Linked DNA regions of Struthio camelus. The protein of the gene in region 2 interacts with the protein of the main gene of each other region in a pairwise test. Links are inferred from orthologs where the notes say so. Each region holds a gene or a part of one and is shown on either strand. Other genes may lie near its edges.

Evidence for each region. The genes of interacting proteins can lie anywhere in the genome.
Region 1: the proteins of KXD1 (region 2) and MAP1LC3A interact in binary tests that used the Homo sapiens proteins (3 or more experiments, as listed by UniProt). The two-hybrid records come from large-scale screens. The link is inferred for Struthio camelus from reciprocal best matches to the Homo sapiens genes KXD1 and MAP1LC3A.

What each region holds. Positions count from the first base shown.
Region 1 is NC_090959.1:3,825,954-3,833,307, reverse strand, and holds the start of MAP1LC3A (microtubule-associated proteins 1A/1B light chain 3A), read right to left. Parts: upstream 3,012-7,354; 5' UTR 2,871-3,011; coding exon 2,831-2,870; intron 1-2,830. UniProt on the Homo sapiens protein: Ubiquitin-like modifier involved in formation of autophagosomal vacuoles (autophagosomes). While LC3s are involved in elongation of the phagophore membrane, the GABARAP/GATE-16 subfamily is essential for a later stage in autophagosome maturation.
Region 2 is NC_090967.1:5,912,411-5,919,400, reverse strand, and holds KXD1 (kxDL motif-containing protein 1), read right to left. Parts: upstream 3,006-6,990; 5' UTR 2,847-3,005; intron 2,202-2,846; 5' UTR 2,187-2,201; coding exon 2,092-2,186; intron 1,935-2,091; coding exon 1,782-1,934; intron 1,074-1,781; coding exon 1,027-1,073; intron 599-1,026; coding exon 363-598; 3' UTR 130-362; downstream 1-129. Other genes in the region: peptidyl-prolyl cis-trans isomerase FKBP8, read left to right, coding at 3,279-3,357, 4,215-4,514, 4,948-5,117, 5,537-5,625, 5,807-6,024, 6,105-6,277, 6,401-6,478.

The DNA.
Region 1 (7,354 bases), on a different chromosome or scaffold from region 2:
CTGGATCAGCTCACAGAGCCTCACCCTCTCACCGTTTATGGCACTTCAGATCACACGAGAAGCCAGCACTCCCTGTCCTCAGTGTACTTGAGCCCTCAGAGTTTCCCAGTCAGTGCCTTTTCCAATTCCTCAATATGAATATGAATATGGAAAGCTTATTTAGAACAGACCCCACAGCAAGCAGAGCAACAAGCAGAAGAAAATCATAGAAAAATAAATCTCAGTCTCTAATATACAAGAAGGGGGAAACAGGCATTGAGGAAAGTGGAATCTTCAGGAATGGGCGGCAAAACAAGACCAAGATCCAAGCAAGCCATTTGCCATGCAACTGGAGCCAGAACAGTTTTTGTAAACAGTCATACTCCTGACTCTGCCTTTTCTCCGTTTTTTTGGAACTGTTCCACTTCTGTAGTTTTGAAGCCTTAAAAATTAAGCCATTCTGAATATACAGTGTAGCTGGAGGTATTTTCCATCAGTTCTCTCCAACTGCATTGTAAACAATCACTTCCTGCTCCTGTTGTGTAATGATTTGAAGACGAAAACAAGATGTATTTACTTTCTCCAGCCGAGCAATTCCAGCCCTGACCCAAAGCAACTGCGTGGGCTGCCAGGCCTCTGCCGCCTCCTCCTTCCCCTCCCCCTGGGAGAATTCTGCAAACCAGTCAGCTGAGAGAGCAAAAGGGCAGAGGAAAGTACACAGAAACAAGGAGCACTTGCAGTTGCCAGCACCAAACTCCCTCATCCCCCACCCTGTCCCTTCTGAGCTATTTTAATCCTGCTTGCTTTCACCTCCTCTGAGCCTTGGATTTTGTTTTCCTTTGGCTTGTAGAAAAGCTGAGCAATTTGCAAAGGGGAAACCAAACTCTGGCCATAAGAAGCTGGCTCTCACCAGTTTAAGAGTAAGTAGCTGCTAAGGGTTTAATTCAGAACTTTATTGGCTTTTAATATACAGCTTAAGAAAATACAAGATACAGCAGGGACCCAAAAAAGTATCCCAGGGTACCCAGAGTTCATGTTATTCCTGTTTGTGCACATTTGCTTGGATTGGTTGCTGCAGCATGGGAAGGCTGGGGAAGTGTTTTAAGGCCAGAAGGGTCGTGATAATAAATTAACAAATATTTACAGTTTCCAAGAGTGCAGCAAGGGGTTGGATCCACAGTTCAGTAGGAAAAAACTCCAATTTTTAAATTCACAGAGAAAACACCCTCACCTTTGTTTGGGCAGTATCTGACACAGAAGGCGGCCTTATTTGGCCTGAAGACATTGACTTTGGCATTATTCAGACAGCAATGCTCAACTGATACTCCCCTCCCACCCCTCAGAATTAATCCAACAGAAACATGCATGTTTCCCAATGCCAGCTGGAAAAGGTCAAGGGAAACAGAAGTCCACGTTCATCTGATTTCACTATCAAGTTTGGCAATCAAAGCTGGTACCATTTACGGAAACCTTTTTGTCATTTGAGTTTTCCCACGAAGTACACTTCAACACAGTAATGGGTATGGTCTCAGCATTTGAGTTTTCTTAAGACTCAGAAAATTTAAGAGGTGTATCAAGCCCTCGGAACAATAACGACTCTAACGCTAACCGGATAGGGAACAGGGAGAGTAATTTCTGAAGAGATTACTGTTCTCTGACAGTCACAAGTTTAAAGACAGGACCCAGGGCAAACATGAAACAAGAACATTTAGCTTTTGACTACTACTCTTTTCTGTAGACTTTAAAGCCCATTCTAAAACGGTCGTTAGTTACCCCACTTCTTCCAATGGAGACACAAAAAAAGTCACACAGGAGGCTGATGACTCAGCCAGGTGCAAAAGACACATTTCTTGCCCTCACTTACAGCAGCTACCCTTGGGATGACGCTTACTCTGGAGCAATGTATTATTTCATGCTTTAAACATGGGGGCTTATTCAGCAAGTATCTCCCTAGTCAAGTACAACAACAAAAGGTGATATAAGACAAGGATACGAATATTTTGATAAAAAGCAACAGCATTTATCCTTTGGAGGCTAGCTATTCAGAATGACATATGTTCAGAAGGGCCTATAAAAAGTAAGTAGGCGATTTGGTTACCTTCCCGGGTTCATAACCGCATTCCTGCGGCAGACACTACATGCGTGTCATTATAAATACATCCCGGTCGTTTACGTACGCGGCTGTGCGTTCAGCGCACAAGCATCTCGCACGGGACTTCGCAAGCCCGGCCCCAAAGGCTTTGCTGACACACAAGCAGCAAGGCTCCCCCAGGCCTCCGAGGCCAGTCGGATGCCACCGTTACAGCTCAGACCTACCTGCGCGCTACAGTCCCCCAGCTCAGAGCAGCTCTGGCGCCCGCGCCCCTGGCTACGGCACGGATGTCACAGGTCCCCAGGGCGCTTATTACTTCTGCACTTGAACGCTCCCGGCGCTCGCACAGGCCTGAGCTCAGGGGCTCCCTCCTCCTCGTCCCCCCCCCGCGGTGACTGCTAAGGGCACGGACACACGACCCGCTCGTGTCGCCTCCGAGCCGCGCTCCGGTTTCCCGTGCGCAGGCACCGGGAACGCCCAGGCCGAGGCTCCAGCTCCTTCCCGCGAAGCGGGCTTGGAGGGCCGGCGGCCCGTCAAAAAGCAGCCGTTAAAGCCAACGGCCGCCGCCGCCCCCCCGGCTCCCGGCCGGCATTACATCAGCGCGCGGCTGCGGCGCCGCCGGCCGCCGCCCCCCGCAGGGCCGCGGGGCAGCCTCCGGCTCCGGCTGCTCGGGGGCTGCGGCCGGCGCCCGCCGCGGAGGGAGGGGAGGGGAGGGGAGGGGAGCCCGAGCCCGGCCGCGGCCCCCCGGCCCCGGCTCACCGAAGGTGCGGCGCTGTTTGAAGGGCCGGTCCGAGGGCATGGCGGCGGCGGCGGCGTCTGGCGCGCGGCGGCGGCCCGGCCTGCGCTCGAGCGGGAGCCGCAGCCGGCCGGGTGACGTCACCACAACGCTCCTTAAAGGGGAGGCGCGAAGAGGCGGTGTTTGGCCGACAGCGGCCGGCCCCCGCCCGGGCGGGGGCGGGGCCGCGGGAAGATGGCCGCCGCGTCGGGGGTGGGGTCACGAGGACGGGCAGGCGCCTCCGCGCGGAAGGGAAGAGGCTGAGGGGAGAGGAGCGCCCGACCGCTAGCAGGCCGGACGTCGTCCTTTCCTTCTGTTTTCCCCCTAATTACCTTCAGGTGATGGAGGCCCTTTCCCCACGCGGCTTTCCAGCGCTCACGCTCGCCGCAGAGGTTGGAGGCGGCTTCCGCCCCTCGCAGAAGGAATTTTCCCCTCTGAATCAGCACACAGCTGCCGCAGTGGCTCCTAGCTCTATAAATAGCACCGGTGCTCTGCAGCTGACAGGAAGGCCGTGCCCCGCCGACAGCGAGCAGGCAGCCCGCGGGCCTCGCTCCGGCCGGCTCCCGGGGAGCGGGGCGAGCGCCAGGCCCGGCACGTCCAGGCAGTCTCGAAGATCCCGTCTCAAGTATATCCCAAACGGTACTGTCGGTTCCGGCAGCGAGGCTGGAGGCAGGCGGATCACCGCGCGGCCAGGCGCGCAGGCCGCATCCGTGACCCTCCGCAGTAAACCAGGCTTACCTGTACCGCTCGGATACTTGCCATACACGCGGCTGCCTCCATCGTTTCTCGCCTAACGAGCCTCTCAGTCTCTTCCGTCTTGCGTTTAAAGCAGCTTCTATGCTGAATGTTTTAAAGCCCACAGCACAACTACAAGTAGGGCAGGCTATTTCTAGAGCTACCGTAAATAAAATAAAAAACAACAGAAATAGAATGACAACGTTGCACAAGGAGCCGTGTTTAATGTTCCTCCAGATGGGCTGCGACAAAAGCTGGACTATGCTGATGCAACGCTTCAGTGAATCAGCATGGAACCTGGGCGACCTCAAAACGTTAATGGATACGTACGCGTTTGGTAAAAGGAGACATGAAAGTTCGCATCTATTTAAAAAAAAACAAACAAACCGACCAACTGCTCCAATTATTAAAAGTGTCGCCAATTAAAAGGAAAAGTTAACTAGACTCTAACATTTTTTCCCCCTTGTAGAGTTTATCCCAAAGGGAAATAATTTGCCTTTAAACTTTCAAGGCTAACTTAATGGATTTTTCTTGCCTCAATAAGAATTGTGTGCATACTGAAAAGTAAACTCCTCAGCTTCACTTTTATAACTAAAATGCAGGTAAAAACCTTCATTTCCAATATAGGTCCCTTTAATTAGAAAATAGAAAAGTGAAGTAAGTAGAGTTGAATTAGACCTGGCAAGCTGATTAACTACATACTGCATGCTCAGACAAAAGATATTTTTTACTACTATTATTATGTGATAAAATGTTAACCAATTTTTGATGAAAGGCATGAGGAACTCTTTTCTAATTTAGTGATTTAATCCCTGATCCTCTACATGCAGATCAGGTTGCAGGACTGGGGCCATAATTCCAAAGAACTCTATTCAGACACACAGATTGGGAGAAAAGATACCGATTCATGGAAGCTCTGCAGCTCTCCAACATATTATTTTAATTATATAAATGGGACACGGATCAAGGAAATTTTACTGCTAATACAGCAGAATGCCCCCAGTGATTTATTTGCTTCTCCCTTCTGCCTCACCTTTCCTGAAAAATCTTGCACACGCCAATACCTCTCTTGCCTGCTCTTTCTGATGTTATTGGTGCAATTCCTTAGATCTATTGGACTTCAGATCCAAAACCCCCAGGTCAAGCAGAGGTTTAAAGAGGAGGAAAGGATCCAGCTGTATCAATTCAGCACCAGAGAGCAGTCCTAACATGACCTAGAATCAACAATAAAGCTTTACATATGTCAGTATGCCTCTGGGGTAAACAACACTGATAAGCAGCCCTGGCTGTTTGCAAAACCATGCCAGTGGAAGGAAATCTCCCCAAAGAAATCCTGTTATGCTGGTAAAAAAAACAAACAAGCAAACTAGCAAAAAGTCCATTTTTGCCAACAGAAACTGTGCTGATGCTCAGGTTTCTGTTGACATGGCAGTGTTTATCAGAGCTCACTGCCCCTGCACCTGCAGATCACCCCAGCTGGCACAGCTTTTCTTACACATTACTAACATAAGGCCAGCCTATATTGGCATAACTCTCTAATCCAGGCTTTCATCACCTATAGATGTAGCTATACATAAAACTGTTAGACCAGATCAGAGATAAAGGTCTGATATGCTGAGAGGAGAGCTGTACACTCAGAGCTCAGCCATCTCGGGCAGATGAAGGAATTGCTTGCGAGGGCACTGGAACAAACGCAAGCTGGAGCAGCTTAAAAGAGCTGTTCTAAGGTCCATAGAAGATGAGTTTCCACGAGTCTAGCTTCTGCAGTCTTAAAGTGTTATCACCTCCAGTCCTCTGCGCAGAGTCAGCAGAAGAGAATATGTCCTTGGGTCTCACGTGTTGCTGTTCACAGCCCAGAGCCATACCTCAAAACTGTACTTCATTAGCTTGTTAATACTTTAGGGTTTGCTTTCCAAATCTTAAAGAGATGCTTCCTCCATCTTCAGAGAGGGACCCATCAAAATTTACTTGTCAAAGACAGCAAGTTACACTCTGCAAGCACAACACAAAGCAGCTCTTAGGCACACAGCCTAGAGGTTATTCAAGCCCTCCTTTGAATCACTTTGTAATGCTTGCCGGCTAGGTCCACAATGCTTATTTTTCTGTTCTTCCTCAATGGACAGTTACTATCTTATCACATGAAGGACTAGGCCCAGCCTCAGCAAGCACAGGGCAAGAAGCAGGACTTCATCCAGTCTCTCTCTTGAAGCTCATTAAGATGGCTTTTAGGAAAAGTAAAATCCTCCCCTAACTCTGCATGCAAAGGAATAACTTCCAGCCACATCTTTATGACTGATACTCCCAATCCAAATTGGACACTTTTTCCTCCATATTAGAGTATCCAAATGGAAGTTGCTGTTCTTCAGCTTCACCTCTCCCCCCTTTTAAAAATCTGAATTAACTTTGAAGTGTAGGGTAGAAGTGGTATTAGTACGGCATAAGCATGACCCTCCCCTAACCAGCTGGATTCAGTAAACTCCTTCAGACTCAATAACCAGTACTCAAGGTCCTGACTATATTCAAGCTTGACTAATTGTTAACAGTCATTGAAAAATAATCAGCATATGGCAGGAACCTAGTAATTTCACTTTAAGTTTGATGATCTCAACACAATGCAGAAAGTGTGCATCATCTTAATTCTGCAATAGGGTTGTTTATTACAAGATAAACATGAAAAAAAAAATCACCCACACACTCAACATTGTCCCAAACCCAGATACAACAGAGAACCGTTGAAGGATAGTTAGCCTTCAGCAAGTGTCCAGAATAACACAGGACCCTAAAGGAGTTTCTCACTGTTCACAGAAGTAACACTGCCACCTAACAGGGAAAGCCAAAATACATATGCAGATCACCATCTCCAGGGAAACATTTTTCTGCCTGTCAACAACAGAAGATAGGGAAGATAACTGAAATCACATTTTTCTTCTGACTTGCCTCACTATTCAGTTATTATCCAGAGAATTCAGGTTGCAGAAGATCATTTTATGGAGACAATATCAAATTAAAATAAATGACAACAGATCACATGCATTATACAAGCTGCTGTATATTAGGAACTACTCCAGATACAGAGCATGACTGCAGACCTTAGATGTATAATTGTAAGACAGAATTTCACTTATCTTCCAAAAAAATGTTAATGGCCTTCACGGTCATAAACACTATCTAAAAAAAAAAATTACATCCATAAATTAATATTCACCTCTGAAAAGGCATAAATAACAAACCTTGAAGATACAGATTGTCTTAGTGATCCGAGTCACCATACCTGCACCCTATTGCTTTGTGACCTGGAAATCCAACAAGTGTCCAAGTCAACACTTCAACATTTATATTAGAGACCCCAAAACTGCACTGCAGCCAATCATCTAGAATATTCATCACCTTGACCTGCTGAGATCACCCGTAAGAAGTTCTTAAGTCTGTTCCTGGGTGCAGAACTGGACAGTATCACATGTTCCTACTACTGCTTATAAATTTGAGAGAAGGCTAAACAGGGCTAAAACCAGGTTATACACTTTTGCTAACATCAATCGGAGTGATCCTTCACAAGCACAGGTAATAGCATCCCCCAGTGACATTGCAGTGAAAGTCTCCTCTTTTATTGTAAAGCACATTTCACGTGCATCAACTGCACGTGAATCTTTGCTCAGGTGCACCTTGGAGAAACTCCTTTTCACGCTGGTAGAACACTTCTACCACAAGTAGAGTTTGAGGCCAGACACGTGAGAAGGCTAAAGCACAAGCTAGCAGCTAGACTACCTACAAGA
Region 2 (6,990 bases):
CGTTCCCAAGAAAAACACCCACACCCCGAGCTGTGGAGAGCGCTCTTCTGTTCCAAAGAGCCAAAGTCTAAATCAAACGTAGGGGTTTGCTGCTCTCCTGAACACACAAATGAGAAAGGACAAAAGGCGTTTCAAATCCATGTTTTACTTATTTGCCTGTATCAGGTTGCAGGGTATGCACTACGGTGGCAGTTTAGAGGCAGAAGGGGGTCTCTTCTTCACTCAGCCGTCACCTCTCAGCCTTCACTTCCCTCTTCCCAAAACAGTAATGGCCAAGGAAACACACAAATATAAATACAGGACAGGAAGTTCTCCACAGGCCAGGCAGCTGAGCTGGCTGTGGCTGTACAGTATCAGTACACCTAGTCCAGGTCATTGGCAGCTTCTTCATCTGTTAGACTCTGTCCGTTCACAGCCGGTGAATCGTACTGGCCTTGTGATAAATCCTCAAAATCCTGACTCATGGTTGGAGAGATAATGTCAGGGCTTGTGTCACAAGACTCCGTGCTCTGCTCAGAGGTAGCAATGGTGGTTGTCGTGCTTTTTGGAACAGGGTCAAAATCATCATCGTCATCTAGAATCGGAGATTCGTGGATGTCTGAAAGGGAAGACGCAGCAGTTAGTTTTACTGCTTTGGCCATCTGTGACAACAATACACAGCCCGTGTAACACCAGGTATGAGAGACGCTCTAACATAAGCACAGCAAAGAGTTTGCTCCCTTCTAATTCAAAGGTTTGACTGCTTGTAACAGTAATCAATAGATGGCTACTAATTTAGGTGACATCAGTTATTTGTGGCTTTGTAACCTCTTAAAAGCATATTTAAGAGAATAAAAAAAGCTCTCCAAACTTTTCACTGCAGCTACCATGAGCTGGCACATGCCTGGATGTCTCATTATTTCTTTCTTTAGAGGGGTCTCAACCCCAGAAAGTTGAGCCATGTGTCCTTAGGAAAAGGACTCCTCACGCTGAAAGCAAGCTGACATAAAAGCTGCAAGTCAGATTTAATAACAAAGAATCACTCACTGCTGAAGGCTTCTGGGTACTGTTTAGCTAGCTTCCCTTTCAGCGTCCTGCAAGAGCAGAGGAGAAAAAGAGAGCCAGGCTTACGCACGAGCTGACAAATCCCCCCCAGCGGCGGGCTGGTGAGTCCTCAGCACAGCTGGCCTCGGGGGTCGCTCCAGAGCTGAACCGCATCCCTCATCCTCTGACGCCCGGCTGCCAGACCAGCAGGCGCCTCCCGCTTTAGTTAGCTCTTTGGGGAACGTTGCGTCTTCCCCGTCTGTTCCCCAGGAAGCCCAGCACTGTGCCAAGAGGCTCCCTGCCCTCGGAGTCAAAACTTCCAGCGTTAGCCAGAGCTCCCACAGCTTCCCTGTCAGGAAACCGGGTACTTCTGCAAACCCCAAGTTTCGTAACCCTCCTGAGCAGCGCGAGCGCTGCGTCCCTCCCTGCTGACGCAGAGGGAGTGCAGAGAGTCACTGGCCCAGCTGCAAAGCCGGGATTCCTAAATTGGGATTCCTAAAGCTCCGAGCTCAGCAACCAGTGCCTCTCCCCACACCCACGTGTTTGCTCTGCTATGTGTTTTTCTCTCTCCACCTGTTTTTGGTTTCTGTGACGGTCCAAGATCCTTCATACAGGGGTGTCACATTTTAATACCCCTCTCTGCAGACAGCAGCGCTCCGTGATCTCTCTAGGTGAAGAGAGACCCTTTGGTTTCTGCATCTTCTCTCTTCCCCCACCACCCCCGGGGGACGTTCCCAGCCCCTTGACCCTGGCCCCACCTGATTCTTCGGAAGATGCTATCCAGGTCCTTTTTCATTTCAACGAGCGTCTTCGTGTGGTGCAAGAACCGCTCGTTCATCTGCTGCATGCGGACACTGGACAGGTTATTGAAGTTGAGCAGCATCTCGTTGGTCTTCTCGAATCGATCCAACCTGCTCAGAGCGAAAATGGGGCTCTGAAGATGCCTGGCGAGACCGCCCCCCCCCCCCGCCCAGCACGGCTCGCTGCCAGGGCCGTGCCCGGAGCCGGGGCACTCGTGAGCGCGGGGTTGGGTCCCCAGGGGAGACCGGTCACCCTGGGGCGACTCACATGTTCTTCTGGGCCTGGATGATGGCGTTGACGTCCTCGGCGTTGACCATGCCCATCACCCGGCCGCAGAACACCCGCGAGGCCGTGGGCTCCATCGCGCCCGCCGCCGCCTGCGGGACCGGCACGGGTTCGACTCGCCTCCCGCTCCCGGTAACAGAGACACCCCCCCCCCCCAACTGCATCCTGGCCCTGGTAACCGAGTTCCCCCCTGCAACTGCATCCCACTCCCGGTAATGGAGGACCCGCCTCCTGCATCCCAGCCCCGGTAACGGAGACCCCCCCCCCAGCCTGTCTTATCCCGCTCCCGGTAATGGAGCCCCTCCCCCCCCAACTGCATCCCAGCCCCGGTAACGGAGACCCCCCCCCACAGCCTGTCTTATCCCGCTCCCGGTAATGGAGCCCCCCCCCCCCCAACTGCATCCCAGCCCCGGTAACAGAGACCCCCCCCGCCCGCCCGCCCGCCATATCCCGGCCCCCGTTAGGGAAACACCCCCTCGCTCTGCCGTTTCTCGGCCCCGGTAACGGAGCCTCCCCCGGCCCCACCGAATCCCTCCCGTGACGGTGCCCTTCCTTCCTCCGTTAACGGAACCTCCCGCCGTCCTGTTCCCGGTATTGGAGCCGCCCCCCCCCCACCCGGTAACAGGGTCCCTCCCCCTCCCGTTAAAGGGGCTACTCGGGCCCGGTGCCTCCCAGCGGCGGCGCAGCGCGGCCCGGTAACGGCTGGGGCCTCCCGGCGGCGGCGGCGGCCCGCGCACCTGGGGGAGCCCGTCCCCGCGGCTTCACATGGCGGGGAGGCACCGGCGGCGGCACCGGCGGCGCGCGCGCTCGCTCGCCTCGCTTCCGGGACGCGGGTCACGCAGCGCGCGACGCCGTGACGTCAGCGCGCCCTTGCGTCACGGCGCCCGGCCGGAAGCGGCGGCCGCCGGCCCGCGGGAGGGGAGAAGCGGGGCCTCCCCGCGCCCGGTAAGGCCCATCCCTCCCCCTCTCCTCTCCCTCCCCGCTGGTGCCGGGGCCGCGGAGACCCGCGACGGGCGGGCCCGGACTTGCTACCGGCGTATAAATAACCCCGGGGCGGGGAGCGCGAGAGGCCTCCGGGGCCCGCTCGGGGCGCCGGCAGCTGCCCCTGCGCCCGGGGCTGCCCCGCGGCCCCTTTAAGGCGGTGCGGTGACGAGCTCTCGCTCCGCCCAATGGCGTTGGCGCTGGCGCGGCGCGGCCGTCCAATGGGAGCGGCGGGGCGGGGCCGGCGGCAGCTGACTCGCGGGCCAGGTGGGAGCGGCGGGGGGCGCGCGGCGGCGGCGGCCGTTGCTAGGGGGAGTCCTCGGCGCGTGACGGCGACGGTGACGTGGGGGCGCGCGCGCGCGCCCGCCCGGCCGGGGCGGGGGGAGAGCACGTGGCCGGCCGGCGGGGGTCTCCGGGGGTCGCGTCGGGCGGCTGCGCCCGCTGCCGAGTCTCCGCCGGTGCCCGGCGTCGCCGGGGCGTCTCCTACCCGCCCGTGCCCGGCTCCAGCGCCGCTTACAGGCTGCAGCGGGGCCGGCGAAGCGCCCGGGAAGGTGGCGGCAGCAGCAGCCGCCAGGCCTCGCTGCCGCGGAGGCCCTCGCCTCCCTGGGGAAGCCGGACTTCGGCCCTGCCGGGGCGCTCAGGCCTTTGGCCTGGACCACGTTCCGGTTGTCCAGCTCGCCGAGAGCAGCGTCGCCCGGGGCGGCCCTTGGGGCTGCCGCTCAGGCTCTCGCGCTTGCCTGCTGCGCAGCCTCCAGCTGCCGGGCCAGCGGGGAGACCCGCTTGCCCCGCACGCAGGTGTCTCAATACACAGAAACAGGCCAGAGCACCTGGCAGCTCGGCTCAGCCTGTCAGTGCATCCCGGCAGAGCAGGGGAGGGTCCCCCAAAACCTTACGGGAAAGGAAAGCGTGATCTGCTATTGCTGGCTGCTCTCTTTGGGGGCTGAGGTGCGAGGTCCGAATGAGCGAGCGACGGCTGCAGCTCTCCATCGGCGCAGGGTTGGTGGTATCTGTCCTGTTCCTAGTCACCGCTTGCAGTGTTCTGTCCAGGCTGGGGGAGGGCTGGCATTTGCGTTCATCCCCTTGGCAAACAAAGGACCAACCTCTTGAATGTCTTTCCCCTTTAGCTTGCTGTTCTCCCTGCTCTGCGGCAATGGCTTCCAGCGGGGAGGAGCAGAGCAGCAGCTCCCCGGACTGGGCGGACAGCGGCACGGACCTGTCCTGCCCGGAGCTCGCTGGAGCCAGCACATCCCCGCTTGACAGCGGGGAGGATTTTGAGGTCTTGGAAGATGATGATGATGACTTGAGCGAGCTGCCCCCGCTGGAGGACATGGGCCGGGTGAGGACCCCAGCGAAGGACTCCCAGTCCTCAGAGCAGGCCCCAGGGGAAGCAGCTGAGGACCCTCAGGAATGGCTCGATGTCTTGGGTAAGAGCCTACAGAGGAAACTTCTGCATCTTCTGCTCCTGTCCAAGGCGCTGAGCTGGCTCACGGAGCTGAACGGGCTTCTTCAGGGGAGGTCGGAGGAGGTGGGCTTCCCCACAGCTCTTCAGGCACTCTGGGAGCAGCAGCGCAGGAAGGACTGGACAGGCAGCTCTGCGCCTGAGCCGGTGCCAGGGGCCGAGGCTGCTGCTGGGCTCCGCCGTGGTTTGTGGGGATCCGTCGCTTAGGGTGGAGGTGGTGGGATGGTCGACGGGGTGACATGGTGGCGCTTCTCGCAGCAGAAAGGCCGGCTGGTGCGGGGGATCGCTGCTGGAAACCGGGGGACGTGGCTCGGAGCCAGGCCGTCTCCCTTTCCCCTCCCCGTGCAGGGCCCTGCCGCTGCGGTGGGCTGACGTGCCTCCGCCTTCTCCTTGCCCAGGGAGCGGCTTGCTCAAGAAGAAGACCCTGGTGCCGGGTCAGGGGGTGGAAAGCCGGCCACGCAAGGGCCAGGACGTCACTGTCCGCCTGAAGGCCACGCTGGAGGACGGCAGCGTGGTGGAGGAGAACCCCAGCCTCACCTTCACGCTGGGAGACTGCGATGTCTTGCAGGTAAGAGCCGGGAGGCCGAGCCCTGCGGCCAGGCTGCGGAGGAGAGCACAGTTAGAGGTGCAGCACTGGGCTCCTGTGCCTGCTCCCTCTAGCCTGGGCCTCCTGCTGACTGGGGATGGTGGGGGGTTTAACTCAGCACCCTGTTTCCAGACCACGTAAAGAAACGAATGTGGGTGCTGCAGGCTGATTGCCCAGTTCTGCCCTGCCGCTGTCCCTGGTTTATCGCTGTGTTGTTCTTACCGCGCTGGGCGGCACCTCGCTGCCCCGGGCCTGGGGCAGTAGGGGCGGCTGGCAGGGTCTGGAGTCGGCGACATCCCCAGCTGCGCAGTTCGTCTGCCAGTGGGAAGCAGCCGCTTGGCTTCCCTCTCTGGAGGGGCAGGACCTTTGCTCACCTCCTTCCACAAAATTGGTCTCTGTAGGCTCTGGACTTGTGTGTGCAGCTCCTGGAAATGGGAGAAACAGCCTTGATCATGTCAGATGCAAAGTACTGCTACGGCCCCCAGGGCAGGTGAGTGGGGAAGGGCAGACCGGAGGCGCTTGGAGCAGCCTGCGGCTTTGGTGAGATGCAAGTAGTGCTAAATCCCCTAAATCCCCATGGCCCAGCCTGGCTGGGGGAACTGGCAGAGGGGGCAGCCGTCAGCCAGGCCCTCGCTTTGCAAAAGCCCTCAGAAGTGCCCTCCTTGATGCAGGAGCCCTGATATCCCACCCAACGCAGCCCTCCTCCTGGAGGTGGAGCTGCTGGAGGCTCGGGACGCGCCGGACCTAGAGCTGCTCAACGGGAAGGAGAAGATAGCACTGGCCAACCGCAAGAGAGAGCGCGGCAACTTCTACTACCAGCAGGCAGACTACGTGCTGGCCATCAACTCCTACGACATCGCCCTCAAGGTCATCGACTCCAGCTCAAAAGGTATCGGCAGGCCTGCCCAGGGAGGAGGGCTGGCCGGGCTCCTGCCTTCCTGGCGTAACTGGGCTCTGGGATCCTTGCAGTCAACTTCAGCCCCGAGGAGGAGGCCGAGCTGCTAGATGTGAAGGTGAAATGTCTCAACAACCTGGCAGCCTCTCAGCTCAAACTGGATCATTACGAGGCAGCCCTGAAGTCCTGTAATCTCGTCTTGGAGCACCAGCCAGGGAACATCAAGGCCCTCTTCCGAAAGGGCAAGGTGAGACTGGGTGCACGGCGGGCTCTGCCTTCCACTCTCCACAGCCCGGCCACGGCAGGACAGAGGGCAGGGGTGAGGGATGGACCCCGAGTGCCCTGCTCAGCTTTGTGTCTCGCCTTCCAGGTCCTGGCCCAGCAGGGGGAATACAGAGAGGCCATCCCCATCTTAAAGGCGGCTTTGAAACTGGAGCCTTCGAACAAGGTAGGCTGCCCTGAGCGCTGCTAGCGATCCTGTTGAGCTGTGCTTTGCAGGGCTCTCCTCTTGGCCATGCAAAACTGCAAACCGTGGTGCTCCTGTGTAAGGGCTGGATATCCCGGCATGGTGCCCTGCGTGCTAGCACCCACGGTACAATGTCCGAGCTTGTCTGAGCTGGTGGGGCCCTTATCTCTGGGCTGTGATACTCTCTCTTTGCCCTTTGGTCCTTGCGGCAGCAGGACTCCCTGCCAACCCATCCGTAGCTCAGCAAGCCTGGGCGTAGGGTCCTGGCTACCCCAGCTTTGCGGGGCGGCTCCAGCGTGTTGTGTTGTTGCTGTTGGAGGTGGAGCACAGCCACGTCCTCGGAGTCACTTGCGGCAGCCCAGAGCATGATTCACTGGGCTGTGGGAGCAGCCCCAGAAGCCCTGGACCTCAGTCCAGCGCCCAGGCCAGCACAAGGCGTGAGCGATCCCTGGGTCAGGAATTTCCGGTCAGTTAATGATCAGCTGCTGGGCTGG